Linked DNA regions of Neurospora crassa OR74A. The protein of the gene in region 6 interacts with the protein of the main gene of each other region in a pairwise test. Links are inferred from orthologs where the notes say so. Each region holds a gene or a part of one and is shown on either strand. Other genes may lie near its edges. The genes, in order: NCU06409, NCU03824, NCU08323, NCU03702, NCU09437, NCU07041 and NCU00301.

Region 1 (4,170 bases), on a different chromosome or scaffold from region 6:
GCGGCCCGTTAAGGTTGACCCTCTGCTCTTCTGTGCGGCTGACACCGGCATGCGAGGCACCAGGCCCACGCGCGCTCTTCAACGACGTCTCGGGGATGGCGTTTGCAATGGCTGTGAAAACCTCAGTAACGTTATGTCCGGTCTTGGCCGAAGTCTCAAAGAACAAGAGACCCTCCTCCTCGGCGTATGCCTTGGCCTCGTCCGTCGAGATCTTGCGTGCGTCGCCCGAATCCTCCGCATTGTCGTCGCCACCTCCGGAAGCCTCGGCAGAGCCGGCCGAGTCGCTGGTCAGATCCAACTTGTTGCCCACGAGCGCGATAACGATGCCGGGAGACGCTTGTCGCTGGAGCTCGGCGACCCAGTGCTTGGCCTTGATGAGTGAAGTAGGTTTCGTCAGGTCGTAAACGACAAGGGCGGCTTGGGCGTTGCGGTAGTACATGGGCGCTAGAGAGGCGAAGCGCTCCTGGCCTGCTGTATCCCAAATCTCGAACTTGATCGTCCTCGTGGGCAGGTTGCACTTCTGGGTTAGGAAGGCGGCTGCAAAAAAGTGTCAGCTAAACTGGTGCAAAGAAAGTCGTCATGACTTCAGGAACTAACCTCCTATCGTGGGCTCCTTGTTCTCTTGAAAGTCATTGTTGACGAATCGGAGGACGAGCGACGACTGTGGAACGATTTGTGTTAGGCATGTGTTTCTCGAGCATGGTGGTTTTGGAGCAGAAGACTGCGCACCTTTCCGACAGCAGCTTCACCTAGAAGCACCAGCTTGACGCTGCTGCTCGGCTTGGGCGCGTTCGTATCGGCCATTGTCGTTGAAGTGTATTGTTGCTACAAATCTGGGTGGATGGGTTGTGGAAACGGCGGGGCTTGCGGCAGCGAGCAACTACAGCAAGGGACAATAGCAAGAACGGCTATCTTTGATAATGCGACAGCGACAGAGCAGTGCAGTTGTGGAAGGGAGGACGTTGGGTGGCTGCCTGTTGGAAGACAAAAGATGTCTGAAGATGGATCGTTGATGGGTTGGGAATCGGAGTGAGGTGTGACGTGATAGGTAGACGGCAGCAATGAGAGTAAATGGATGGATGGAGCTTGTTCATTCAGTTAGTTCCCTTCCAGTCGGAAAGCCAGGCTCGCCGGGATCCAGCAGGCATTCGGTCGGGCCACGGGCAGGCGTCGCATGTCCTCGATGTCCCCCCTCGCTTGCGCTGTGAGTGGACTCCAACTTCCCCTCCATGCCAAGACTCATAGCCACATATGTATGCCTTTGTGAACCGTGCGCAATCTCGTGGCAGGCAAATTGGACTACAAGTACGTACCGCCAGCTGTAGCCCGGGGACTGGACTTCGAAAAGGTCCCCACTAAAAAGTTCACTTCGAAAATTTGGGGGCGTCAAAGTCGCAACGAAAGTCTTCCATCCTTTATGCGCCAGGATTGACTTTCCACCCCTTCGCCCTAGCATCTTCAAATCTAGCCCACCTCAAGATGCCTCGCCCAAAGTCAAAAGCGGCGAAAGCCAGAGTCACAGGCGCCAATACCGATCCCATTGTGCCTAGAAAGGGTCTGTTCGACGATGATGCCTCCAGCGAAGACGAGCAGGACGGCGGTGCCACCCTCGGTACCGCTGCCGACTTGAAGATCAATGAGGAGTACGCCCGCCGTTTTGAACACAACAAGAAGCGCGAGGAACTCCACCGTCTCGAGGAAAAGTTCAAGTCCAAGAAGGAAGGTGGGCTAGGCGAAGACGAGGACGAAGAGGACTCTTCCGAAGACGAGACCGAAGACGATGAGGGCTTCCTTGTCACCGAGGACCTCGACGCCGAAATCAACGCCACTCTAGAAGCTATCAAGAAGAGGGACCCCCGCATCTACGACAAGGAGGCCGTTTTCTACACGCCAATTGACGCCGACGGCCAGCCCGTCAAGGAGAAGAAGGAGAAGCCCATGACCCTGCGCGACTACCACCGCGAGAGGTACATGGCCGGTGACATCGGTGCCGACGAAGATGACGCGCCCAAGCCCAAGACCTATGCCGAGGAACAAGCCAACCTGAAGCAGAACATTCTGTCTGAGATCAATGCCGCTGTCGGCGAAGACGAGGAGTGGAGCGACGACGACGCCTTCATCAAGCCCGTCAAGAAGGAGGAGGCGCCTACCGAGAACGGCGTTCACCCGTCGCGCGCCAAGGCGATCGATCTTAACGAGCTCGACGTCAAGAACGCTGACAAGAACCCCGAGGAGTTCCTTTCCAAATTCATGCAGTCCAAGGCCTGGGCGCCCGCCGACGGCTCGCGCTGGGAGGCTTTCGAGTCGGACGAGGGTGAGGACAACTTCCCCGAGATGGCCGAGGAGTTCGAGCACGCCTACAACATGCGGTTCGAGGACCCCAACAAGAGCAACGAGTTGCTCAAGACGTACTCGCGTAACCTGGCCAACGCCAAGTCCGTCAGAAAGGAGGAGCTCACGGGCAGAAAGAAGCAGAGACAGCTCGAGAAGGAGCGCAAGGAGGCCGAGAAGAAGCAGCGCGAGGAGGAGCGTGCTCGTCTGCGCCGTCTCAAGATTGACGAGGCGGCCGAGAAGCTATCCAAGATCAAGAAGGCTGCCGGTCTCACCGGCAAGGAGCTGTCCGACGAGGAGTGGATGAAGTTCCTCGAGGACGCCTGGGACAACGACCGGTGGGAAGAGGAGATGCGCAAGCAGTTTGGCGAGGAGTACTACGCCGAGGGAGAAGGCGACGTGTCCGGCAGCGACGAGGAGGACGACGAGGACAACGAGGACGGCAAATCCAAGAAGAAGAAGAAGAAGCTGCCCAAGAAGCCCGAGTGGGACGACGATATCGACATCAAGGACATCATCCCCGACTTCGACGACGCTCCCGATGTTGTCCTTTCCGATCTAGACCTCCCCAAGCCCAACGGCGACGACCAAAAAGCCGAAGACGAGGACGCCGACCTCGGCTCCGACCTCTCCGCCGATGAAGATGAAGGCCGTCCCTCCAAGAAGCGCAAGACCACCGCCGACATCAAGAAGGAGAAGCAAGCCGCCAAGCGGGCAGCCAAGGCGGAACTAGCCAAGCTTGAAGCTTTGGTCGACACCAAGATGGAACTCGACACTCCTCGCGCGCTTTCCGCCCCCAAGGACAAGAAGTACAAGGAGAACCTGTTCCCGTTCCGCTACCGCGAGACTTCGCCCGTCTCGTTCGGCATGACGGCGCGCGATATCTTGTTGGCGCCCTCGGACGCCGCGCTCAACGAGTTCGCCGGCCTCAAGAAGCTGGCTACTTTCCGCGACGCCGAGAAGAAGCGCAAGGAACGCAAGAAGCTTGGCAAGAAGGCCCGTCTCAGGCAGTGGCGTCGCGAGACGTTTGGCAAGGAGTTCGAAGCGACTGGTCCTACCTTTGGGTTCGAGGCGCTGGACGAGGATGGTACGCCCCTTGGCAAGAAGGATGAGGGTGCGATTAAGCATAAGAAGAGGGGTGAGAACAAGGACAAGAAGAGTGGCGAGAAGAAGAAAGAGGAGAAGAAGGAAGAGAAGAAGGAGGAGAAGAAGGAGATTGCTGCTGGTGAACGGGGAGCGGATAATATCATCGAGGGAGAGAGGAAAAAGAAGAGGAAGAGAAGCAAGAACAAGAAGGACAGTGAGAAGGCTGAGGCCTAGAGTGCTTCGTTGCCACTTCGGTTGTCAGTATAGTTGGACAAGCAGTGGCGGTCACGTTTGTTTGTTCTGTTTAGGGTTTTGTATCGTTTAGTCTATTTTAGAAGGCGTATTGCATCGCGGTGTTACGGAGAAATCATACAAAGTTAGAATTAGCTATACCAATCCTCGATGCTTCCTCTCATCTCGGAGTTCATCGTCGTCTTCGCTACCTACTCAGTTACTCTGCATGACACTCAGATGGTGTTCAAGTTGTCTTCATGCTTTCCTGAAGAGAAGAGACACTCCCCTTCTCCCCCCTCTCCCCTTCCCCCCGGAGGCGGAGCGCCCGTCCTGTTACTAAAATCCGTCATCGCCACCCTTTCCTCTCTTCTATCCTCTTTTTTTTTTTTTTTTTCTCTTTCTTGTGCACTTTCGACCTTCCTAACATCTGGCCCTGTCTTCCAGTTGTTACTCTGTTGGCCACTACAACCAACTCCAGCCTCTTCTCATATTGTTGGCCACTTTGGCAGAATAATCAGG
Region 2 (3,510 bases), on a different chromosome or scaffold from region 6:
TGGGCGGATGAGAGGGCCTGGAGGTGGGCGGTATTTGCTGTTGCTGGCTATGGTGGTTGTTGATGTTATTGTTGTTGTTATTGTTGTACTGTCCTCGTCTTCCTCCTCGTGAGTAAGGTCCAGGACTCCTGGGGCGATAAAAGTCTGGGTGTGTGTTGTTGGTGTAGGTGTTGTTGTTGTTGCTATTGCTGTATTGTCTTACTCGTGAGTAGGGTCCGGGACTCCTGGAGCGATAGCAACCAGCGGGCTGAGGGACCTGAGGCCTGTTGTTGTTGTTGTTGTTGTTGTTGTTGGTGTTGGTATGGTAACTTCGTGTTCCTGCTCCCGAGTAGAACGGCGGCAGAGGTTGTTGCCAATGCGGTATGGTCGTTCCTGGGGCGAAGGTGTTGAGATGAGTAGGAGGGATGAAGCCATAGCCCATATTTGGGGGCGGCGCATATCCCATGCCATATTGCTCTTGCCGAGGATAGTGCTGTTGGTTTTGGTATTGGTATTGTTGTTGTTGTTGCTGCTGCTGAACAAACTCCCCCTGCCATATTGGCGGGTAACCCGGCTGGTAGCCGAAGTGATTGTGATCCATTTGGTCCACTGTTTGCTGTATTTGTGCCTTAAGACCGTCTTGAGGCTGTTGTTGTTGTCGTTGTAGTTTGTCCTGCTGCTGACCCAGCCTTTGACACCTTCTTTGCTCCTGCGTTTCGTTTCCGTTTTTGCTGCCCCTTTGACCCTTTCCAGCGGAAGCCACTCTGCCCTGTTCTCCAGCCGCCTGGTGAGACGGTTCTGAGGGGCCTGGTAATGTCTCGTTTGATTGTGCGGTTCCCTTCTTAGCCAGGTGTTGTACGCCAAACACAGAGCACAGTTTATCCGCCTCAAAACTGTCTTCAGCCGTATGAATGCACCTCGTCGAAGGTTGGTTGGCCAAGAACGGTTTGTATGTGTTGAAATATTTATTGCGAGGCAAGTAAGGCAATAATGGTGTAGTTGGCAATAGTTGCCAGTCCTTTGTGAGACGAAAGCGACCTGGTGTGTTGAATATTCGTAATCTGTTCATCATCATCCTTGAGATAAAAAGACGAGGCCGGTGCAAAAAGGTGCCGCTACGGACCACTTGGCTCCAAGGTGCTTGAAGTCGGCCCGGCTCGCATTCAGCTGTAGGCCACAGCTGTTGAGGAAGATGTGCGGTAATAAATATCCAATAAGCCGTGTTCCTGGACCTCCAAACAACTCAGTGAATGAGATGTCACACTTTTATCAAGAAGTGATGTTGTACGCCTGTTTGCGGCCTCTGTGCTTTTCAGGGGACGGGCAAAATATCGGTTAGGAATCTAGCCAATCATACATTGAGAAAACCCGTCAAAGCGGGGCAATGTTGCTTCACTCGCAGGCGGCAGAACTTTCAACGCCAATTCGACAACCAACTACATACACATATCCATGTGACTTCACTCATACCTTTTCTTCACCCGCTGCTGTTTGTTCCCTCGTAAAAGGGTAACCATCTCAAATCAAACGCACAACAAAGTTGTCACTGCCACCAGAGACAGGATAGAACTTATAAAGGACGAAATTGTGGACCCGAAAAGAGTAAGAAATGCCTGCGGTCAAGCGAAAAGCTGCCCCTACGCTGGGTGCTAAGCTCCAGAGACGTGTTCGTCCGAGATTTGAAGCCGAGCCCGACTCGGATGTGGAGGGGAGCTCAGATGAGGCCCCTAGTGAGGAAGAAGGCGGCGGCTTTCACACAGGCAGCGACACCGAGGAGGAGGAGGAGGATGAAGAGATTGAGGAGGGCAGTGAACCAGGCAGTGACGATGTAAGGGTTTTTGTTTTTTTTCTGTTTTCTTCAAATGGGCACAAAAAAACAATACTATCATTTTTTTTTTTAAAAAAAAAAAAAAAAAAAAAAAAAAAAAAAAAAAAAAAAAAAAAAAAAAACTACGACTAATGCTCAATAACAGGACTCCGACGCACCCTCAGAGCACGGCGGCGCCGGCATCGACGCCTCGCAGCTCTCATTCGGTGCTCTCGCCCGAGCCCAAGCCTCTCTCGGCGCACTGAAGAAAAAGAAGAAGAAGAAGGGCGGCGATGAGGACGGCTCCGATGACGATGAAGAGAAAGAAGAGCCCAACTGGAAGACCGAGATCGAAAAGGGCATGAAGGCCAAGGTCGAGAAGCACCACCGCACCAACAAGCACGCGCCCGTCGAGACGACCTCCAAAAAACCCGTTTCTCGGCGTCGCGACTTTCTCGCCAACGAGCCCGCCAAGCCCAAATCCCGGGACCCACGGTTCGCGCCCCCCGGCATCGGCGGCAGCTCCGGTAAAAGCGTAGTAGATGAGATCAAGGCGCGCAAAGCCTACTCGTTCCTGGACGACTACCAGGAGGACGAGATGAAGCAGCTGCGGATGGCCATCAAGAAGACGAAAGATGCCAACGAAAAGGAGGAGCTGCAGCGGGCGCTCCTGTCGATGGAGAGCAAGAAGAAGGCGCGCGCCCGCAAGGATAAGGAGCGCGAGCTGTTGTCGGAGCACAAGAAGAAGGAGAAGGAGCTCATCAAGCAGGGCAAGACGCCCTTCTACTTGAAGAAGTCAGAGCAGAAGAAGCAGTTGCTTGTGGAGCAGTTCGCGAGCATGAAGAAGAGCCAGGTCGATAAGGCGATTGAGCGCAAGAGGAAGAAGATTGCAGGCAAGGAGAAGAAGGCGTTGCCGTTGGCGAGACGGACGGCTGAGGATAGGTAAACGAAGGGGAAGAGTGGATTATTGCTTGCTTGAAACACTGGGGGTATACTATAAATGGCTGCATGGGAGACATACCTAGGTATCAAGGACTGATAGATGAAGCAGGCGCGCAAAAGGTTGGAATGGTAATATTCACAAATATTGTTACAAATCACCCCACAAGTGCTGGCTATGCTTTTTGAGGTGATCTTACTCGGTAGATTCCCTATAACAGAGAACATTCGGCCGAGATGTACAGGAAAGAAGAAAGAATCACTTGCAGAAACTCTGGTCTAACCCTCCAAATCTATCCCTACCAGCCCGACTTCCAGCCACAGTAGTATCATACATACACCTCACTCACTTCTTCCCGAAATACTCCGTCTTCTCCAAAGCCTTCTCAAACATCTCCCTACACCTGACCCTACTCCCCAGCCTCGCGCACAACAAAAACGCCCCACTGAGCTTCCTGTGCAAGCTATACGTCTCTTCCGGCGGCGGTGCCAGCCTCTCATGGATCATGACGGGGATCTGCGCTTTGACCCTCTCCGTAATCGTCTGATCTCTGAAATCATACACTTCCGGCGCACTCTGCAGGAACGGCTCAGCCAGTGTAACGACACTAGTGATATGCGCCTCCAGCATCGCTCTACTCTCATGACCCGTCAGATACCCCAGCTCTTCAGAGAGGGACTTGACCGCGGGGCGATCACCCCGCGACGCGGCTTCGAGCAGGCGGATATACAGCGAGATGAACTCCTCCGGGTATTCTCGGCTAGCGCCAAAGTCGAGCAGCTCC
Region 3 (4,081 bases), about 2.6 Mb from region 6:
AGGTGGTGTCGGGATTCTTAGGCGAAACGCCAGAAAGCAGCGCCGAAAATCCTGATCTTGCGGAAATACTGAGTAGAACTTGGTGTCTCGGGGTAAGAAAGCAATCTCAAGAATAAATAGGGAAACGAGAGGGGCGGAGTGCTTAGAATGTTCGGGTTGACCGGGTGTTAGGAAGAGAACACTAGAAACTCGTATGGTAAAAGCACCTAATACGGGATGATGCCATCAGATACACGAGATATCGAAGTAGGCGAGAGCTACATTGCCTTCTTTCCCTTTACACTGTTCTCTCAGGATTCCGACAACGTGGCAGAGGATCGCGGTTGCCTTGGACTTGGAAAAATGGGAGAAGGGCATTCCAAGCCAGATTGACGCAACAAAGAAGTCAAAAGGCAGCTTCCTTCACATAACTGAAAATGATTATTCCAAGGCTCCTCGACAATTCCTGTTGCTGTACCGGGTATCTTGAATTTATAATTTCGTGCACTAAAGCATTACAGGTCGTCAACAATTATGTTGCTGGTTGGTCAGCACCACTAAGATACAAAGGGTAGTACATGGTGACTGACTTGGCATGACCACTTCCTCTTCAAGCGGCGTGATGAGTAGTAGCCACTGTCGAGGCGTGACATAGTATTATCAAAGGGGTCAATGTCTAAGGACTGCCCCAAGCCACCAAGGTCACTAAACAACACGACTCCCATCTCTATGCGCGTACCAGGTAAAAATGAGCCACATGTCCTCGTTGCATACCAAGGGTTCATCGTCTATAAGTCATTACCGGATCACCGATGTTTCTTCAAGCGTCCAGCATCGTGTCATCGCCATCAAATCCGGGTTGCGCGACAGGGACACCACCTCCGCGACCTGCGAGAAGTTCTCGCCTGATCTCGGGCGAAATCTTGTCATGGCCGTGAGTTAGGAGAAGATCCAGGAGAGCCTCTCGCTGGTCCTCAGTAACTACACAAAGACCGCGGTTAGTACTCAAAAATAATAGGGACGCATAGTGAAACAGCGACGGAAGAAGCAAACTCACTGTTCGTCTTGTATCTCTGTGCAAATGAGAGCATGCACTGATGGAAGATGACTGGTAAAGCGTTGGGTGCCATATGCCCGCCGGTGGCGAAAGCGGGATACCGAAGAAAGTGGAAGACGAGGGCATCGAGCGCTTGGAAGGCTGTATTACAAAGTCAGAGAATACAATCATTGGCACGCTAGGAATTGGACTTACGCAAGGCGTGACGTTTCTCAATCAGAGTCTTGAGGAGGAAATTCGTAGCGCTAACGCAGTCGAGGCGCTGAGAAGCCTGCGCAGAAGAAATTTCGCACAAGCCCTTAATGGCCATACCGGAATGAACAGCCGGAATGGTGACCCGGGTCAAAACACCGGCTACGATCTGCGCCTCACGCAGCGAGCACGTTCCGGAAGCCGCCAAAGGAAACAAGAAGCCTGCCAACGGTTAGCTGGGTTGTCCCTTTTGAGCAAACCTGACTAAGCGTAGGCAGTAAATAACACACCTTTGAAGAAACCACCAGGCTTGTAGAGGGCCTTTTTTAGGGAGTTGAAAAGATGGACATTGAGCTTCTTGGTCTCGTGAATGTCCTCGCGGACGCGTTCTAAGATCACCATCTCCATAAACCGTTGAAGAACAGCCTCCTTGGCGGACGCAAATATCCTGGTGGCCGCGTAGCTAACAATCGCAAATGTCAGCAGCGTTTCTCTGGCTCCCGAAAACAGGAAGAAGCAACCATACCAGGCATTGGGAGTCCAGGACTCGGGTTGTGTAATGGGCAAGATGTCCTCCCAGTGGGGGATCTGAGGAAGGACCTTGAAAGGCTTGGGAAGCGGCCCAGATTTGTAGCGAGAAAGAATCATGCCAATTCTGCGAGAAGGAGTCTGTCAGTAGTCTGCCAAGAGGGTAACAGAAATAACGGCCAGCCTACTTCTCAAACACTTCCATCACCTTTGGGGGGATCTCGTAATCCTCATCAATTGGGCCAGGCTCGTCGCGGTACCCGCCTTGGGGGCCGCCGGCTTCCTTCTCTGCGATCTTGGCAAGAATAAGGTCCGCCAGGTTCACGCTCTGACCCTGCTCTTCTGCCCCTTCTGGCTTTCCATCCCATCCGTGTGTTAGGAGCGGGTCCTCGTTCATTGTGGGTGTGATAAACTGGTTGAATGTCTCGAGATCGGTGGCGTCGACTTCGATTTCCTCTACCTCCTCCTCCTCTTCCTCGCCCCAGGCCTCGTCGTTCTCAAACTTGTCGTCTTCGTCATCGTTGCGGTCGAATCTCGATGGATCGAACTCGAACGCCGAAGGAGCAGATCCGGAGGCTGCGTTTTGTGTTGTCCGGAGGTTCTCCTCCTCCTCGATGAGGCTACGGCTCATAGCCAAAATGTTGCGCGAAGCCTTGGCGTCGACATACTTTTGCTCATCTTCGTCGTTGGCGGCGCGAGTGTTCTTGCTCTTTTTGCCGGAGTTGTTCTTAAGGACGCCGGTAGAAACGAGGTCGGCCTCGAGGGGGTTGTGGCGCCTCTTCGACGTCGCCGCTGTTGTCTTGGGCATCTTGAATGGCGGTAGGGTTGTGCAATCGGGGGAAGAGTTGATGATACGGAGCTCTCCTGGTTGTCCCCTCTCTTTGCGATGTCGACTTGGCTGCACACGGCAATTGGGGATATTTTTTTCGGCGACCCTTGGACAATTTGTTCCCGCCGTGGAGAAGTCTGGGCACTTGAAAGGCTTGCGCTACGCTTGTGGTTGGTCACTTCTTTGCTGTGTGGGCACACTTTATTTTCTGATGCCAGGGCGGTGAAAATGATAAGCGGTACAATACCTCTTATCGCTTATCGTCTAGCTTGGACGCGCCCGGCGGAGCAGCGATAAACATTTTATTGCCCCGCATTTTCGTCACTGTGCCCCTCTTCGGTTGCAAATTCCTGGAATTTTGTTCCCTGTGTTTACAGTTTTTGCAGCTTGGCCCACTGCATGAATAAGAGCAAGGGAAGTCGCGACATCATAGCCTCGCTCGCCACGGTTACGAGCTTATAGCAAGTCCAATACAACCATACATCCAGCTACCATTGATAACATGCCGACCGAACTTGAAGAGGTAATTCTGCCAGAACCAGTGCAGTGTCAATGTCAGTGGACAGACAACTAATCGCTATAATCGCCTGAAGCTCGTGGGCTTCATTGCCTCGCCGAACGCCAACATCCGCCTTCTCGCGACAGAGAACCTGGTGCCCTTCTCAGCGTCTCAGCCCGCCCTCTTCAAGACCGACGAGCTCACCCCCATCAAGCATCTCAAGTTCTTGATCCGCGACCACCCGGTAGGCCCAACAGACTTGTCTTGTTTGCGCCCAAGCAGCTTCAGCTAAGACGTCGGTACCATGTGCAGAAAATCGCCGAGCACGCCCTAACATGCTTGATCAACTTGACTGCCGAGAAGGATGTGCTGGAATACGTCGCGACCGATGATCGCTTCCTTGGAATCCTCCTCGGGCTTCTTGTCGTATGTGTATCCATTCTGAGCTCCTACGGTGCGTGCGCAGCAAGGACTAACCGCTTCGATCCCGTTCCTATAGGAGCCCGAGGAGGTTAACGCCAATCTTATGGCTATGTTGCTGGCAAACTTGACCAAGTGGGATGGACTCAAAAGTCTTCTAGACCGGAAACAGCCCGCTCCAGAGAAGCTCAAGTCCGACGATAGGGTCATTAACCAACTAATGGACCTCTTCGTCAAGGGCGCCGACGGGACTTACAACAAGCACGCCGATTACGACTACCTCTCCTACGTCTTTGCCGACCTTTCGAAACATGAAGAGATCCGGCACTACTTTGTCAACAGACAGGACTACGACGATGTTATTCCAATCAACAAGATCAAGGTCTTTACCGAACACAAGTCCGATATCAGGCGAAAGGGAGTGGCGAGCATTATCAAGAACGCTGCTTTTGACATTCCTTCGCACCCGGCGTTTTTGGATGAGGATGACGTCAATATCTTACCCTACATTTTACTTCCTATCATGGGCGGCGAAGTTTATCCCGAGGATGAGGCATTGGAAATGCTTACCGATCTT
Region 4 (4,047 bases), on a different chromosome or scaffold from region 6:
TCCCCGGGACCATAGTAATTATATATCCTTTAGCCTGGCTTGGGCCACAAGTTGTAGAGGTACTTTGGCTTAGTACCCGGTAACGGATCACACTTACACTGTCCGTACTCTCCATTAACGCTGCGCGTCTCGTCCCGGGATATGTTGTCGCCTGAGTTACTTTGTCAGCTCTGATCAACGCCGCAAGCAAACGAGCCAAGAAGATAAGATTTTCAGCGGTGCAAGAGCGCTTAGTACGGGGAAGGTGTAGAGGCAATGGGGTGAGATATCGAAGAGCTAGATAGCATGCAAATCATAGATCAGAGCATATCCAGCATCGAATAAAGCAACAAACAATAAGCTCAAGAAGTAACAAGACCGCCGACAAGGCCGATGATAAGGAGCAAAGATGACCCAAAACTCTGATATGTAAATCTATAGGACTAAGCAAGCTCAAATTTGCTCATCAACAAGCGAAACCAACGGCCCAGCATCCTCTTGATCCTGGATAGACTCTAGGCATGTTTAAATAATCCTCAAAGCCATGTAATGACTGGCTTGCAGTACCCTTGCGTCCCCAGGCCCAAACAATCTCCTTTGAAACTCGAATGGCCAGAATAGTCTCAGTTTTCGACGTGATACCCTGATGAAAGGGGAGGGACTCTCAGTTCGCAGATTTCAAACGCCATAAAGACGAACCAAGCTGTCGAGCATTTTAAGCGCCGATAAAAGCAACCTCTGCTTGACTATCCAGCGCCCTTCTCGTTCTTAGGGTGATTGACTGGTGATCGTTCTTGATGTGTTGTAGGCTGGCCAATTTCGCTGGTGAACAGGAGGTTCGTTGCGCGGTGACTTAGGAGTCGTGACGAGATCGTGAAAGGCGGCGTAAGATGGAAGCAACCGGGGTCACTCCGGATATCAGTCTAAGAACCCTGGTGCTTTATTCCCACAATGCTAAAACAAGGCAGATACCCAAACGCCATTCGCCGTTCCAGATTTACAAAACCATCCTGCCAGTAGAACACCGAATTATGTGAAGGTTCCAGAACAGAGCAACGAAGATAGAACAGTACTAATTCGAAACTCAGTTATCGACGAACTCCTTCTGCTGGTAGACGCAAGAAACCATGGCGTGGTCACGCTCGTAAGGCTCTGTGGGTGATTGTTAGTTATTGTTGGCTCTATCAACCAAAAGGGAAGCGGATGGACGTACCAAGAGTCAACTGCTCCTTGGGGAAAAACTTGTCCTCACGGAGCTTCTGGACCTCAGAGGCGAAGACCTGCTCGGGAGGAGCAGTGGAGTCAATGCAAGAAGCCTTGATAGAGATGAGAAGACCACCACCCTGCTTCAAGAAGAGCTTGGCGTTGATGCCGACAATTCTGAAATGTGTTAGTGTCAGGCACATACAGTGTCAAGGATCTGTATAAGTCGGCTTACCTGGCCTGATCGGGCTGGGCAACATCGGCGAAGATGACATCGACCATGGGGAGCAGCATGCGGTAAGCCATGGGCTTACGGGCATCCTCAACGATGGGGATGACGTTGGTGCGGCGAGTAGCCATGTTGATGAGGTCACGGCCGGAACGGTGAGAGAACTCGACGGCGTAAACGGAACCAGTAGGACCGACGATATCGGCAACGTGAGAGACCGAGGTACCGGAGGCAGCACCGAGGTAGAGGACCTTGGAACCAGGCTTCATATAGATGGTTTCAAGACCACCGAGGATACCGGCAGCAAGCTTCGAACGGAAAGGGTTCCAAATCTGCAAAGTCCAATGTTAGTCTTTGTCTGAGGCCACAAGCTGGAAAGCCTGGAAAACGTACGCGGTACTCAGTCTTGGTGGAAGCACCACCTTCCTCCTTAGAGGCGTTCTCGACAGAGATTCTCTTCTCGCCATAGACGGACTCGCCAGGGACAAGGTTGACGGTAGCGAGGAGATCCTCCTTACCACCACGAGCGACGAAGACGCCCTTGTGACGGTGAGGCTCGACGATGACCTTCTTGCCAGCAGCACCACCCTTGGCGCCACCGCGGGCACCACCGCGACCACGGGTAGCACTATACTCATAATGTCAGTCAATGTCTTTGGAGTAATCAAGGGTTTTGAACACAAGACGTACCCGCCACGGCCACCACCGCGAGGACCGCCACGACCACGGGGAGCACCACCACCACGGCCGCCTGTTAAGTCATTGTCAGTAAAGTGTTGCGTTAATGTGGTTGCTGTTGCCATCGCATGTTGAGTCGAGTTGCGATATGAAGTTCGACTGAAATCGCCATCCTACTACGAGAAGTCAAGAGGCATGCATGGCGACCACGGGCCGCAGCAGACGCAGAGACATCTCTCAAGATGACGAACAGAAGCAACGACATAACCGCAAAGACCATTCAGGCGATGGCATTGAGGCCAAACTCACCACCGAAGCCACCACGGCTACCGCCACGGGCGCCGCCTCTGCCACCACGATCACCACCGAATCCACCACGACCACCGCCACGGGCGCCGCCTCTGCCACCACGCTCGAAGCCCATTTTTATAGAATGTGTCGGTATTGATAAGTCGGAGTCGGTATGAGTTGCGATTCTGGGCCGAAACGCGTTGTAAGATCAGTCGTGCGAGGCACAATGGGTTTAGAGTTGTCGCGCGGCGCTGTCGAGGACTCGGAAAAGAGCTTTTGCTGGAGCTGGGTGCAAAATTTCCTGGACATGGATTGAAAGAAAAAAAAGCGGGGCACGAAGTCTCATCGCTGGAGCACTTTTTTTTCCGGTCGAGGCCTTCTGCCTTTGCAATTGGCTGTCGTCCTGGCGTGGCGGTCGAGGCTCTCCAGTTTGTTGCGGATGCTATCGTGCACGGCCGGCAGTCCAGGAGGCAGGCTGTTATCGGCGCTAGCACTTACTGTCCCCGCGTGCACGTGCCTCAGGCAAAGTGACGGTCCGCACGAGCCACCTGCGCAGTGCCCACAGAGCCCTAATCGCGAAAATCGGTTTTTGTACGCCAAAATTGGAACCCATCACCACCTCTGAACATCACACTTGGTCGATTCCCCGTCCTCTCATCGACAAGCAGGCAAGATGGTGAGTAAATCCCTGCGAAATCCGCCGAACGAGAGAATCGCCGCCGTTATTTTGCTTCAGGACAGTTTTCGGGCTTCTGCAGCCGAAATGACGACGAAAGTCTCAACGGACGACAATGACGGCTTTGCGAGCATTGCGAGCACTTGGAGGAGAGGGAATCGCTGACCGAGTCTTGTTCAAAATCGCAGGTTCGGTACGCTGCGACTGAGATTGCCCCGGCTAAGTCCGCCCGCTCGCGCGGCTCTTACCTCCGTGTCTCCTTCAAGAACACCCGTGAGACCGCCCAGGCCATCAATGGCTGGAAGCTCCAGCGTGCTCAGAAGTTCCTCGAGAACGTTCTTGAGAAGAAGGAGGCTGTCCCCATGAGACGCTACGCTGGTGGCACCGGCCGCGCCGCCCAAGGTACGACTTACTCGATATTTACATGCACAAACACACCCGAACCGGTACATCATGCGACGACGACGACGACAGTGGGGAGGACAAAGTGGCGGGGGAATAGGGGGGCATTGTCAGCATGATGGAACCGCGACCGACCGACACGAAACCGCAATCGAATGGAGGACATAGAAGACACGGTGCTGACCGTTTCTTCGTCATATAGGCAAGCAGTTCGGTGTTTCCCGCGCCCGCTGGCCCGCCAAGTCCGCCGAGTTCCTTCTCGGTCTCCTCAAGAACGCTGAGGCCAACGCCGATGCCAAGGGTCTTGACACTGGCAACCTCGTTGTCAAGCACATCCAGGTCAACCAGGCCCCCAAGCAGCGCCGCCGCACTTACCGCGCTCACGGTCGCGTACGTCAAACCCGGAGATACCCCCCTGATTTCTGCTTCTGCGCCGGCAGATAGACGATCAAGCCGGTCATTGGCTAACAGTTATGTTTTAGATCAACCCCTACATGTCCAACCCCTGCCACATCGAGCTCATCCTCACTGAGGCCGATGAGGTCGTCCAGAAGTCCGAGGCCGTTGTCCGCGAGGAGGCTCACCTTTC
Region 5 (4,130 bases), on a different chromosome or scaffold from region 6:
TTAAATTTCGTACTTATCGTAAGTTCCGGGCTCAATAGAATATAAGTATAATCGCCGCATTAAATTTAGTCCCAAATATCCCAGTTCTATATATAAATTAATAAAGGTACTTAAGATTCGTAAAAAAGGGCAGAATACTTACTTTTAAAGTCACATCTTTATTTACCTATACTAGCTTTAAATCTAGCACTTTAGTAATAATATTATTATATTAACTTTCTCCAAACTTAATTAACAGTATAATCTATATTGTAATTTTATTATATAAAGCTAAAAATATATATAGGACAATACTTTTTCCGTAGCCCATTACTGCGACTAATATTATATCCTTCTATTCGTACGCCAACCGTACTACCGCCTTAACCTAGCCTTTTCGAGGGTCTTTACTATTACTAATAATATCTTTTATTACCCGCAATATACGCTAGGGGTCAACGGAGGGATCGAAATTAGGATCTATAGTATTAATACCTATAGAGGATAGAAAAAATTAAGGAAAAAAAATAACGTACTATAGAGTAAAGAAAACTATACTACTATATTAATAGTCGTATAATATCTATACCTACAAAGTTTTATAGTATTGGGATAAAAAGCCGTACTGTAATATATAGCTAACTAGGCATTGAATATACGGACTTACGTAAAGTTTTTACATTTTCTATAATAATTAATACTTTCAATAGTCGTAGAAAAAAATTAATAATACCATTAAATCCGTCTCAACGAACTCTTTCTCCTCATATCTTTTGTATAACCTAAATCTATTGTTTTATTTTAACGCTATATTATCTTTCTTAGAAGTTTATCAATATAAATTCCCCTATCCGCTTCTAGTCTAATTGGGAATTCAAACCTCTTTTTTAGGCGTTCTTATTCAATACCGGAAAGTATACTAAAAGAATGGGTACACGGATCACAATTTAGAAACTTTAGTAACTTTCAATTTATTATTTTTTTTGAGAACCCCGGGCGCGCAGCGCACGGGCCAGATGTGCGCGCAGCGCACTTTCCCAGCGGCCGCAGGCCGCCCATGCCTAAAAAAGAGGGTCTGATTCTGAGATAAGGGCCGGGCGCTCACTGTCTGTCAGTTGAACCCCACAGGGGCAACCAACCAACATTGCCCCACCCGACTGCCCCTGTCGGGTCTTCCACTGCCCCTGTTTGTGGATTGACCTCTTATCTCTTATCGGAGCTCCAGAGTCTCAAAAAATTTGGGAATTCCCGTCGCAAACTTGAACGAGACTCGAATTTGCAGAACTTCAATTGGAGGGACGACGCTCGGTCCACTGTTGTTTGGCTTTCAGTGCTCTCTCTCTCAGTGTCTTGTCACTATCAATTTCCTGTCTCCATTCCCAGGACATCCTCCTCCACCATCACCATCATATACCTATACCACCGCCACACATACAATGGAACCCGGATCAGCAAAACGACGCAAGATTGGCCATTCACGCGGCGGTGAAAGCGCAGTTGGCAACATCGACGCCGCTGCCTCCTCGGGTCTCTCGCGTGGCCGCGCATTCATCCTCGAAGCCGAAGAACTCGTCGACGAAGTGAAGCTCGACTATGCCACGGCCCTCGAAGGCGTCGACTCCCTCCTCCACAAGATCAAGGGCTCCATCGAAGCCATCGAAGCCCACGATGCCCTCCAGATCGCCGAGGCTGCCACCAAACTCGAAAAGAAACACAAGATCCCGATCCCGTTCCCCGAGCCGCGCCCGTCCGACAAGTCCAACTACAAGGTCGCCTTCGCAAAGCCTTCCCAGTTCAACGTTGTCGGCAGCTATGTGTCCAAGACCATGATCAAGGCCCAAAAGAGCCATGCTGTGGATATGGTGGTTGTGATCCCCGGCGAGACTCTGCAAGAGAAGGACTACCTCGACCTGCGATACTTTTACAAGAGAGCCTACTTCCTCGGTGTTGTGGCTGCTGCCCTACAAAAGGACCTGGCTGATGATGGAGAGCTTTCATACGAATACCTGAATGGGAACACCCTGTCCCCCATTTTGTCGTTGAAACCAAAGGTGGAAGGAGAAAAAAAGGAGGGCCAGCTGGACTACAGAGTGCGCATCATCCCTTGCGCCCCAGACAACTTCTTCCCCAAATCAAAGCTTCACTTGGGCGCTACCCTCGTGCGCAAAGCTGGCGGTGACGAGTCCAAGGCCGCGACCAAGCCTACGCCCTTCTACAACTCGACGATTGTTTCCGAGTCCTGCTTCTTTCCCTACTTGAAGCTCTTGCGACAAACCGAAAAGAAATGCGCCGCGTTCAAGAAGGCTTGCATCCTGGGTCGGGTGTGGTTGCAACAACGAGGACTGGGAAGCGATATGGCGGACGGTGGTTTTGGTCACTTTGAATGGGCGGTACTTTTGGCCCTTCTGCTCCAAAGCGGCGACAGCACCAAGGGACATGCGCCCTTGTCTACATCCCTGAGCGCCACCCAGTTGTTCAAGGCCATGGTCCAGTTCTTGTCTGTTACTAACCTGTCCGAGAAGCCGTGTGTTTTGGGAACTGCCACCGTCGAGTCCGAAACCACTGGTCCGGTTCTCTTCGACGCTGTTCGTGGTTTGAACGTTGCCTTCAAGATGAGCAACTGGTCTGCGGCCAAGCTACACCAACACGCCAAGTGGACAAGGAGCCTTCTCAACGACAGCACTGCCGACCAGTTTACCCCTACCTTCATCCTCAAGGCCGACCTCCCCTGGCAAAACTACGACCTCATTGCCCACCTCAACTACGATGGAAAGCAGGACAAGACAGAACCGATTGACTGCCGGGGACGGCTATGGGAATACAGCGACAAGGTGCACAGGGTTCTCAAGCGGGCTCTTCAGGACGAAGAACTAGGTGAAAGGGCTCGGTCGATTCACATTCAACTACCCAAGAGCTCATCCTGGGATCTCACCAAGAAACCCTCCACCAAGCAGAACCACACAATCGAGATTGGTGTCCTCTTCAATGCCGCCAACATGACCCGCTCTGTCGACCGCGGTCCGGCCGCTGGACCTAGCAACGAGGAGAAGGAGGAATGCGCCAAGTTCCAGCGGTTCTGGGGTGAGAAATCGGAACTTCGTCGGTTCGAGGGTGATTCTATCAGGGAGACCTTGATCTGGTCGTCCACCTCCCCCTTTGACCTCTGCGAGGAAATTATGCGCTACATCCTCAAGCTCCATCTTCGCGTTGGCTACCTCGAGGACGAGCTCACCTTCCACGGCGATGGCTTCACCGAGTTGATTCCTATCAAGCCGACCGACACCTCCGTCTTCAACGCCGCTCGCAAGGCCTTTTCCTCCTTCGAGAAGGATATCCGCGACTTGGACGACATGCCGCTGCACGTCAGGCAAATAGCCCCCATCTGCCCCGAACTGCGACACGCCTCCGTCAAGGTGCCCTTCTCGACCGTCAACAAATCCGGCCCACGCCCCCTGGAATGCGTCATCTCCTTTGAAGCCTCCGGCAAGTGGCCCGAATCCATCGTGGCCATCCAACGCACCAAGATCGCCTTCCTGCGCATGATCGGCGACCTCCTGGAGCGTTCCAAGCCCGGCGAGGTCCGCTCTTACGTCGGTCTCGAGTCCTCTACCACCACCAACACGGAACTCGAGAACCTCGCCTACCTCGACATCGTCTACGAGTCCGGTCCTGCCTTCCGCCTGCGCATCCACTCTGACCTCGAAGAGGCCCTCCTCACGCGCCAATCGCACGACAAGACCATCGACCAACACCACCGCCACCAAGCCTCCGTGCTCCTCTCCAACTTCCGCAGACTCTACTACCACCTCCCTCTGCACACTCAATCCATCAACACCTTCGCCACCCGCTTCCCCGCCTTCTCGCCCACCGTCCGCCTGCTCAAACACTGGTTCTCCTCACACAAACTCGCCTCCCACTTCACCCCCGACTTCATTGAACTCGTCGCCCTCCAGACTTTCTTGAGCCCCTACCCCTGGGACGCACCCTCCTCCCCTTCCGTCGGCCTTCTCCGCGCCCTCCTCTTCGTCAGCAGATGGGACTGGCGCTCCGAGCCGCTCATCGTCGACACCAACAGCGACATGCCATCGTCCGAACGCTCCGCCATCGCCACCCGTCTCGAAGCCTGGCGCAAGATCGATCCGCTCATGAAC
Region 6 (3,582 bases):
GACCGTGGGCCCGTGACCGGGATTGCCAACTTCGGGATCGAGACTGCGCAGGCGGAGGGAGGTGCGGGTGTGTGGTGGTCGAGGTCAACGTCCCAGAAATGACGTCTGTGCTTATGATGAATTCGATTTGTTTCTTTTCCTTTTCTCTTCTTCTCAAGGATAGACAACGACAATTGCCGTCGATCTTGGCAAAGGTCACAAGAAGCAGCGATACCTGAAGGTCTTGGGGTTCGGGATAAAGACCGACGCCAGGGATACGAAGGGGAAATCGAAGGGAGTAGTGTAGAATGTCGCGGGGCCGAAGAAGAAAAAGAAGGGGAAGATGTTGCAGGGACGGAAGGAGTTCTGATTCTTGGCGACACAAAACCGAACCTACCCCTTTCTGACGGAAAACGTTGATGGATTTCGAAACCTCGTGCACGGAATGCTGTAATCCGTGGCGTACCACAGTGCAGATTGTGCTTGCCCGATCATGATGACCACAGCGCGCCAGGGTCGTCAGATCTTTGCAGGTTCTCATTGGGCGAACCTGGGATGATTTCTTGGTTCTTCAGCTGGAAAACCAACGACGAACGTTATCCAGCCTTACCGCGACTTTATCACGGCGAACCTGAAAATTGCTGCTGTTAAGTTCGTCAACTTTGACTCGGGCGGGATTCGATGCTTCACCATCAATTACTTCAGCGTATCTTGAACACCTTGGTGAGATTTTACCGACGGTACAGGTGTCAACAATGGCCCTGCTGGGAGTATACAAATCACGTTGAGACCCCAGCAAGTCAAAACGCTCTTGTCGCCAATCCCACCATGGCATATCAAGACCTTTTGATGTCGCCAGCACGTGTGATTTCTTGTTGATGTTCCGTGCCGTGCCGTGCAAGCCCCTGTCATGATAAGCTAGTATGTAGATAAGATAACATCTACAACCTGGGGGGAAAAAACAGCTGAAAGGAGCAGATGGCCAAGAGTACTTGGATAGACTCGTTGCGAAGTACAGCAGGACAGTAATGACAGAACCAAACTTCCACCTCGCTGAGATTTGAAATAACTGAATCCGGTCGTTTTCTTATATTTGCTCCTTTTTTATGCTGTTGTCGTCCTCAATGAAAATACCAGGTTCCAAAAGTTACAACTTCCATGCAAGTGGAAGTTCCAGTTATCAGATAAGGAGCTGCCCCTGCATCTGCCAGCTGGCCGCTGATCCTGTCGCGCTTCTGCAGCCGGAACTCAACCTGCAAGAAGCGCCGCGCCCCCACTCTTACCAGCTGCGGCAGGCTTGTGTTCCAAAAATTTCCATCCGTGCAGCGCGATTCGGCTGGCCATCTTGCCATACAATCCCTTCAACAAGCCATTTATCAAATCCAACCACCAGACCCAAGTCGCTCGCCCTGATATCGTGACCTGTCGCACAACCTCAATCGAGACCTCTGATTATTCATAAACATCAACAGCCCACAAGAGCCCCGAGAAACACATTTACAGCCAAAATGCCGTCCACACACAAGAAGGAGAAGCCGTGGGATACAGACGACATCGACAAGTGGAAGGTCGACCCTTTCACCAAGGACGAATCCTCCGGCCCCTTCCTCGAGGAGTCTTCGTTTATGACCCTATTCCCCAAGTACCGCGAGCGTTATCTACGAGACTCGTGGCCACTCATCACCAAGGCCCTCGACAAGCACGGCATCACCGCAGTTCTCGATTTGGTGGAGGGTTCCATGACAGTGAAGACGACAAGAAAGGTACGGCGGATGCGTTTGTTGTCTTTATAGTCACCACTCTTTGCTAACTCACGTCCAGACATATGACCCCGCAGCTATTCTTAACGCCCGCGATCTCATCAAGTTGCTCGCCCGTTCAGTACCAGCCCCACAAGCGATCAAAATTCTCGAAGATGGCATGGCCTGCGACATCATCAAGATCCGCAGCATGGTACGGAACAAGGAGCGTTTTGTTAAGAGGCGCCAAAGAATTCTCGGACAGAACGGCACAACGCTCAAGGCTCTCGAGCTTCTCACACAAACATATATCCTCGTGCACGGAAACACAGTGTCGGTAATGGGTCCTTTCAAGGGTCTGAAGGAGGTGAGGAGGGTTGTTGAGGACACCATGAACAACGTTCACCCAATTTACATGATTAAGGAGTTGATGTAAGTTTTGCGCCTGCACGCCCACTTGCGACGCCCCACAACAACAATAACTGACATGAGAAAACAGGATCAAACGCGAACTCGCAAAGGACCCCGCTCTTGCCCACGAAGACTGGTCTCGTTACCTCCCCAACTTCAAGAAGCGCACGCTTTCCAAGCGCCGCGTCCCCCACGTCGTCAACGACAAGACCAAGAAGAACTATACACCCTTCCCCCCTGCGCCCGAGAAGAGCAAGGTGGATCTCCAGATCGAGTCCGGCGAATACTTTCTCGGCAAGGAGGCCAAGCAGCGGGTGGCGGAGCAGGAGCGCGCAGAGAAGGCCAAGCAGAAGAAGGAGGAGAAGAAGCGCGAGCGCGAGAAGGAGTATGTGCCGCCCGAGGAGTTGACGGACAAGAAGGCCAAGAAGAGGAAGACGAGCGACTAAGCTGGTACAAGTGGTGCAATCCAAAATATGGGGGCGGTGGAGGTGGAAATGGAGTTGAGGAAGACGATGATGAAGAGAAAGAGAAAGGATCCTGGAATCCCATGATACCCATACTTCAGCAGACGATTGAGATTTCTCCTGCTTCGGGATCCAAGGGTGATCTGGTTGCTAAATTTCACCAAAAGCCTTTGTCAAATGTGTTATCAAAAACAATGACTTGTCCAGAAAAGATGTCGGTTCTTGAATCTGTCGACATTTCGAAACCCAAGGCCGAAACAAAACCCGATGACGATCGCGAATAAAGCCCGATGTGGCAGACCCGCACCACAACCGGGCTGCTCCACCCCGGCGGATCGCAAACCAGGGGCATCACAAGGCGGGCCGAGGCAGTTGCATCATTGGAGCGGGATCCGGCAACGAATGCGGGGGAGAGTGGGGGCGGCCATTGGTCGGTGGCAGGGTTGGTGGGAGAGGCTCAATGACAGAGTGACAACACCCCTTTCCCCGGGTCCAATTGATAACAAATCTGGCCGATGTCGCAACTGATTTAAACTTGATGACCCTTTCCTTCTTTCACTTCTTGAACATACTTCAACACTCATCCAGTGGATTGGCCTCGGTAAAACACAACCCACACATAAACACAACGCCAAGATGCCTCTCCAACTCACTGTCAAGAAAATTGACGGTAAACCCGGCCAGGTTTACTACCCGTAAGTGTTTTGTTCTTCCTCTTCACATAACCTCACCTTTCTTCTCCCCCATACATATCCCCATCACCACCACCAACCAACTCACTCCCACCATCCTCCCCGCATGACTAACCCTCGGCCTCCCCATCTAGCCTCCAACTAAACACCATCCCCAAACCAACCCCCGGCCCCGGCGAGCTTCTCATCCGCCTCCGGTCCTGCGCCCTCAACCACCGCGACCTCTTCATCCGCCAACACCTCTACCCCGGCATCTCCTTCGAGCAACCTTTTCTCGCTGACGGCTACGGCGTCGTC
Region 7 (4,245 bases), on a different chromosome or scaffold from region 6:
TGGTGGACTGGAAAAAAATAATGTGGCATGTCCTAATCATTGCTCTAACATTCCAGTGTTTCATCCCAAAAATTACCTCTACTTCTTGAACGATCCGTGTTGAAGATACCTGTACTGAAGATAACGAAATTGAAGTGTTCGGTTTAGGATGTTGTGTTTGTTCAGAAACTGCCCAATCTAATAATTTATCATGTGGTGGTGTTACATTTATCCAAAGTTGAGATTTGGGCATTTGCATTGATTCGTCTCAGAGCTCCTATTGGCTCCCTCGCAGGCCTTGTATCCTTTCCAAGTCAACATCGCCTTCGCTCTTTCGGAATCTGGCACACAAGAAATGCCAGGGAAGGGCACAGAAACGAAGAGGAACTAAAAATTGGGATGGAAAAGAAAAAGAAAAAAAATGAGAGGGATTCTTATATAGCCCTATTCTCAGACCCGGGGTTTACCATGAACCTGTACTAACACGATTGAACAGGGTGCGAGTACCGGCGACCTCCGGTGTTGAGAATACTGGACATTGTAGATATTGTAGATCTTGAAGAGGTATCAAGTGTGTTCAAGAAATACAATGCCATTGTGTGTGCAAGCCTGCTTTTTTCCATTTCCGTTGAGGCCATGATTATCAACAACCCAAAAATCTATACATGCATGATATACCCAGAGTACTACAAACCAGTCCAACAACCACGACAACCAGAGCCCTATCAAGAAAGCTTGATACTCTTGACCAAGCCGGTCTTGATACCCGACAGTTCTCCCTGGTACCCGCCCTTGCCCTCGCCGCCCTTGTACACGGCCTTGACGCTCTTGAGCTTCTTCTGCTTCTCCGCGTACTTCATCCTCTTCTTGACACGCGGGTTGCGGTTCTCCTTCTTGCGATGCGGCGTGAGGCCCTTGTTCTTCTGGATCTGGTAGTTGATTTGGCGCTTGCCGTCGGGGCCGATCGTCGTCTCCTCCACGACCCGGGCGCCCTTGGCAGCCGCCAAAGCCTCGTACTTGGCCGCCTTGTCCTCCTTCTTCTTGGCCGCGTTGTGCGCCACCATGTCGTAGTACTCGTCCTCCTCTCCGCGCACCTGCTTGGCAACGGCCTTGTCCTCGTCGTCGCTGTCGCCCTCGCCCAGCACGGCGCCGTGCTTGCTGTCTTTCTTGCCGCGCTTCTCGGCCTCGGCGTTGAGCCGTGCTTGCCTGTCTCTCTGCGCAAAAGTCAGTATATGACAACACGGCATGTTTTTTAGGCAATGGCCGACTTACAAATCTCTCACGGTAGGGAAGATCGTCATCACCACCGGCGTTGCGACCCGCATCCGCACGCTTGGCGGACTTGGACACAATCTGGGAGGTGTAGAATTTGAGACTCTTCTTGCGAGCAGCCTTCTCCTTGGCCACGTGAGCTTCAAGGATCTCCTCGTCACCAAAGTCGGAGCGCTCATCGTCATCGCGCTTGTCGACCTTGACAGACTTCTTGCTGGCCTTGGTTGCCGTCTTGGTGGTTTCAAGCAAACTGGAGAGATCGGCAAGAGACTGCTCGACAGCCCTGGCCTTCTTGGCCTTCTCGGCCTCCTTCTTCGCCTTGGCCTTGAGCTCAGCCTTGGATTCGCGCTTGCTCTTCTTGAGCATCTTCTTGAAGTCCTCCATATCGTCGTCAGACAGGTCATCATACTCGCCCTCATCTTCGGGTGGCGAAAGCATGCCGCTGGTCGAGGAGACGCTCTTGAGCGGCTTGAGTTCCTTGACCTTAAGCCAGGCCTCGCGACAGCTCATTAACGTGCCCATAACCTCGTGGTCCCTGAGTTCCGTAGGGCTGATCGTCTTGGACACACCTTGGCTGTCTCTTGCTGGCGAAGTCAGGATAGCGAAATAACTGGCGAGTGAAGCGATGTAACACCCAAGAGTCCAGAACTTGACCATCTCCAGAGACTTGGCAGGCTTGCCCTCGGCCTCTTTTTGAAGAGTTGTGAGAATCGGCTGCAGCTCCCTAAACTCCTGCGCCAGGTAGTCAAACTCGGGATATCGGCTCTGTAGAAGCTTGTATCTTTCTTCCGGCCCCATGTCCTCTGTGACTTCGATCTCGTTGAGTTTCTCGGTAATGACATCCTCCTCTCCCTCGGCCTCCTCCTTGGTTCCTAGCCATTCGCTCTCGTCAAACGCGAAATCGGCCTCGGACATTTTGGCCAACTTCTTGGCCTGGAGCCTCTTTGCCTCAGCCTCTTCCTCCAAGGCATCGGCCTCGGTCTCGATCTGGTCGGCATTGTAGTAGTCCTTTCTGGAGGAACCCCACCATCCTTCGTCACCTTCTTCCTCCTCTTCACCACCCATCTCTTCGTCGGAAAGTACTGTTGTCTTGACCTTCTTGCCCTTCGCGGGCGCGGCGTCTTCGTGTTCGCTCTCCTCATCGGATTCGTCCTCCTCGAAAACCTCCTCGTCAGAAGCCTCTAGGAACTCCTCCTCCTTGTCTTGGCGCCTGCGCTTGGATTGTCTGCCATCATCGCTGTCGTCAAAGTCGATGCGATCCTGGTTCTCCCAGTATTCGTCTTCGGAGTTGGCGACATCTTTGTAAGTCTTAACGGTAAGGCGGGCGTCCTTGGCATCGACCTCGCGAGGCTCGGCGGGACCGGTCGGTCTCGGGGCTTTTCTCTTCTTCGCCATTTTTGCGTTTGTGTCGCGGTTATCTATTCAGGCGTGTTGGATGGAGTTTGGCGCGACTGAGAAACGTTGACGTGAAGACGCTGCCAAAAGGCACTTGGAGATGCTCGTTGAATGGGCTGGTGGGTTCGTTCGCTAGGCGGGCAACAAATGTTGAAGCGGCAGAATTTTTTTGCTCTTGTCAATTTGCGATCCATTCTCAGCGGAACCTCGACCGCCCAGCTCCACTCTCATGCAGGCTGCCTAACCCCACAATTGAAGATGCTCCACAGTTACATCTGAAATGGTCAAAGCTTCCATCCCGTCCTCAGGGTCGACGGGAAGCTCCAAGATGCCCCCCAGGCCTGCCAGATTTACGTTGACATGACCTCAATGGGTTCAGTTATGACAGTAGAGAAAACCGCTTCTGAAGACTCGAAAACGCAAACTCCAGCAAATGGTTCCAGAAACCTCATTTTCCTACGGAGTGCGAAGAAATCGGTCGAATCATCACCCATCAACAAGTCACTTACAGACAGGGGTGTAAGCTCCAGTACGACGGGAACTGCTGACAGCATCCACTAAATTTACGCCGTAGAGGTACTCGTTCGTACTCTAGACGTATACAGAATAGCTTAGGCGCCGCCGCGTCAACAATTCCACTTTCCTCGAGCCCGATCTTCTTTCACGATCCAAGGAAGGATGAACCATTATCTCTTCTCAGAGTCGCTGATGGAACAATTGAAAACCCTCAGCACCTCCTGGTCTCTCCCAGTTGCAGCCGTCGTCGCGGCCATTGGCATATTTGCTACAATGGGTCTCTTCAGCTCCAAAAACCACATGCCAGTCGAGGGCCGGGTATGCGCCCCGAAGCCTCACCCGACCTGACCCGACCTCCAAACAACACTAACTCAACCCCTGTTACCAGACCGTCCTCCTAACCGGCGCCTCCGAAGGCATGGGCCGCTCAGCGGCCATCCAACTTTCGCAAAAGGGCGCCAATGTCATCCTCGTCTCGCGCAACGTCGGGCGCCTTGAAGAAGCCCTCGTCGACGTCCGCGCCGCCGCCAAGAACCCGTCCACACAACGCTTCACTTACATCTCAGCCGACGTTTCCGAGCACGACTACGCCGCCGCGGTCCTCGCCGAAGCTATCGCCTGGAATGGCGGGCGCTCCCCGGACATCGTCTGGTGCGTGGCCGGCATGTCGACGCCTCTGCTGTGGACCGACGATGGCAGCATGGCGGCCGCACGCCGCAACATGGACGTCAACTACTTTGGGTCGGCGGAGATGTCGCGGGCGATTTTGAGGGAGTGGCTGGCACCCGAAAACAGCACGGGACCCAACGGAGAGCCGAAGCACTTGGTATTTACCGCGTCAATGTTGGCGCTTTTTGCGATTTTGGGCTATGGCCCGTACACCCCAACCAAATGGGCGCTGAGAGGACTGGCGGATACCCTGGCGATGGAGGTCAATTACTACCCAGATAACCCGGTCAAGGTGCACATTGTGTATCCCGGCACGATTGTATCACCGGGCTACGAGAGGGAAAATCAGACGAAGCCGGACATCACGGTGGAGCTGGAAAAGGACGAGCCAGCGGAAAGCCCGGATACGGTAGC

The links.
Region 1: the proteins of NCU07041 (region 6) and NCU06409 interact in binary tests that used the Saccharomyces cerevisiae proteins (3 or more experiments, as listed by UniProt). The link is inferred for Neurospora crassa OR74A from reciprocal best matches to the Saccharomyces cerevisiae genes KRR1 and KRI1.
Region 2: the proteins of NCU07041 (region 6) and NCU03824 interact in binary tests that used the Saccharomyces cerevisiae proteins (3 or more experiments, as listed by UniProt). The link is inferred for Neurospora crassa OR74A from reciprocal best matches to the Saccharomyces cerevisiae genes KRR1 and RRP36.
Region 3: the proteins of NCU07041 (region 6) and NCU08323 interact in binary tests that used the Saccharomyces cerevisiae proteins (3 or more experiments, as listed by UniProt). The link is inferred for Neurospora crassa OR74A from reciprocal best matches to the Saccharomyces cerevisiae genes KRR1 and ENP1.
Region 4: the proteins of NCU07041 (region 6) and NCU03702 interact in binary tests that used the Saccharomyces cerevisiae proteins (3 or more experiments, as listed by UniProt). The link is inferred for Neurospora crassa OR74A from reciprocal best matches to the Saccharomyces cerevisiae genes KRR1 and NOP1.
Region 5: the proteins of NCU07041 (region 6) and NCU09437 interact in binary tests that used the Saccharomyces cerevisiae proteins (3 or more experiments, as listed by UniProt). The link is inferred for Neurospora crassa OR74A from reciprocal best matches to the Saccharomyces cerevisiae genes KRR1 and UTP22.
Region 7: the proteins of NCU07041 (region 6) and NCU00301 interact in binary tests that used the Saccharomyces cerevisiae proteins (3 or more experiments, as listed by UniProt). The link is inferred for Neurospora crassa OR74A from reciprocal best matches to the Saccharomyces cerevisiae genes KRR1 and SAS10.

What each region holds. Positions count from the first base shown.
Region 1 is NC_026503.1:1,301,258-1,305,427, reverse strand, and holds NCU06409 (ribosome biogenesis protein Kri1), read left to right. Parts: upstream 1-1,370; 5' UTR 1,371-1,479; coding exon 1,480-3,651; 3' UTR 3,652-3,847; downstream 3,848-4,170. Other genes in the region: NCU06410 (GTP-binding protein YPT52), read right to left, coding at 1-537, 598-661, 730-804. UniProt on the Saccharomyces cerevisiae protein: Required for 40S ribosome biogenesis. Involved in nucleolar processing of pre-18S ribosomal RNA.
Region 2 is NC_026505.1:2,530,918-2,534,427, reverse strand, and holds NCU03824 (hypothetical protein), read left to right. Parts: upstream 1-1,413; 5' UTR 1,414-1,588; coding exon 1,589-1,807; intron 1,808-1,952; coding exon 1,953-2,732; 3' UTR 2,733-3,010; downstream 3,011-3,510. Other genes in the region: NCU03825 (hypothetical protein), read right to left, coding at 1-1,054; stk-25 (ABC1 protein), read right to left, coding at 3,072-3,510.
Region 3 is NC_026504.1:2,401,819-2,405,899, reverse strand, and holds NCU08323 (bystin), read right to left. Parts: upstream 2,729-4,081; 5' UTR 2,565-2,728; coding exon 1,945-2,564; intron 1,884-1,944; coding exon 1,755-1,883; intron 1,692-1,754; coding exon 1,519-1,691; intron 1,451-1,518; coding exon 1,232-1,450; intron 1,178-1,231; coding exon 1,037-1,177; intron 961-1,036; coding exon 800-960; 3' UTR 501-799; downstream 1-500. Other genes in the region: NCU16789 (hypothetical protein), read right to left, coding at 282-357; NCU08324 (DNA-binding protein HGH1), read left to right, coding at 3,088-3,108, 3,179-3,328, 3,397-3,510, 3,584-4,081. UniProt on the Saccharomyces cerevisiae protein: Required for normal export of the pre-40S particles from the nucleus to the cytoplasm.
Region 4 is NC_026505.1:2,139,447-2,143,493, forward strand, and holds NCU03702 (rRNA methyltransferase NOP1), read right to left. Parts: upstream 2,801-4,047; 5' UTR 2,514-2,800; coding exon 2,399-2,513; intron 2,163-2,398; coding exon 2,102-2,162; intron 2,040-2,101; coding exon 1,805-2,039; intron 1,744-1,804; coding exon 1,418-1,743; intron 1,360-1,417; coding exon 1,193-1,359; intron 1,132-1,192; coding exon 1,064-1,131; 3' UTR 248-1,063; downstream 1-247. Other genes in the region: NCU03703 (60S ribosomal protein L17), read left to right, coding at 3,054-3,056, 3,245-3,458, 3,661-3,848, 3,941-4,047.
Region 5 is NC_026507.1:182,558-186,687, reverse strand, and holds the start of NCU09437 (hypothetical protein), read left to right. Parts: upstream 1-1,330; 5' UTR 1,331-1,415; coding exon 1,416-4,130. UniProt on the Saccharomyces cerevisiae protein: Involved in nucleolar processing of pre-18S ribosomal RNA and ribosome assembly.
Region 6 is NC_026504.1:4,998,612-5,002,193, forward strand, and holds NCU07041 (90S preribosome/SSU processome component KRR1), read left to right. Parts: upstream 1-1,308; 5' UTR 1,309-1,487; coding exon 1,488-1,742; intron 1,743-1,800; coding exon 1,801-2,150; intron 2,151-2,217; coding exon 2,218-2,575; 3' UTR 2,576-3,082; downstream 3,083-3,582. Other genes in the region: NCU07042 (alcohol dehydrogenase), read left to right, coding at 3,230-3,288, 3,420-3,582. UniProt on the Saccharomyces cerevisiae protein: Required for 40S ribosome biogenesis. Involved in nucleolar processing of pre-18S ribosomal RNA and ribosome assembly. Essential for vegetative growth.
Region 7 is NC_026503.1:3,362,661-3,366,905, forward strand, and holds NCU00301 (Sas10/Utp3 family protein), read right to left. Parts: upstream 2,796-4,245; 5' UTR 2,647-2,795; coding exon 1,252-2,646; intron 1,194-1,251; coding exon 705-1,193; 3' UTR 501-704; downstream 1-500. Other genes in the region: NCU00302 (3-ketodihydrosphingosine reductase tsc-10), read left to right, coding at 3,325-3,480, 3,551-4,245. UniProt on the Saccharomyces cerevisiae protein: Primarily required at the G2/M phase. Essential for viability: involved in nucleolar processing of pre-18S ribosomal RNA as part of the ribosomal small subunit (SSU) processome.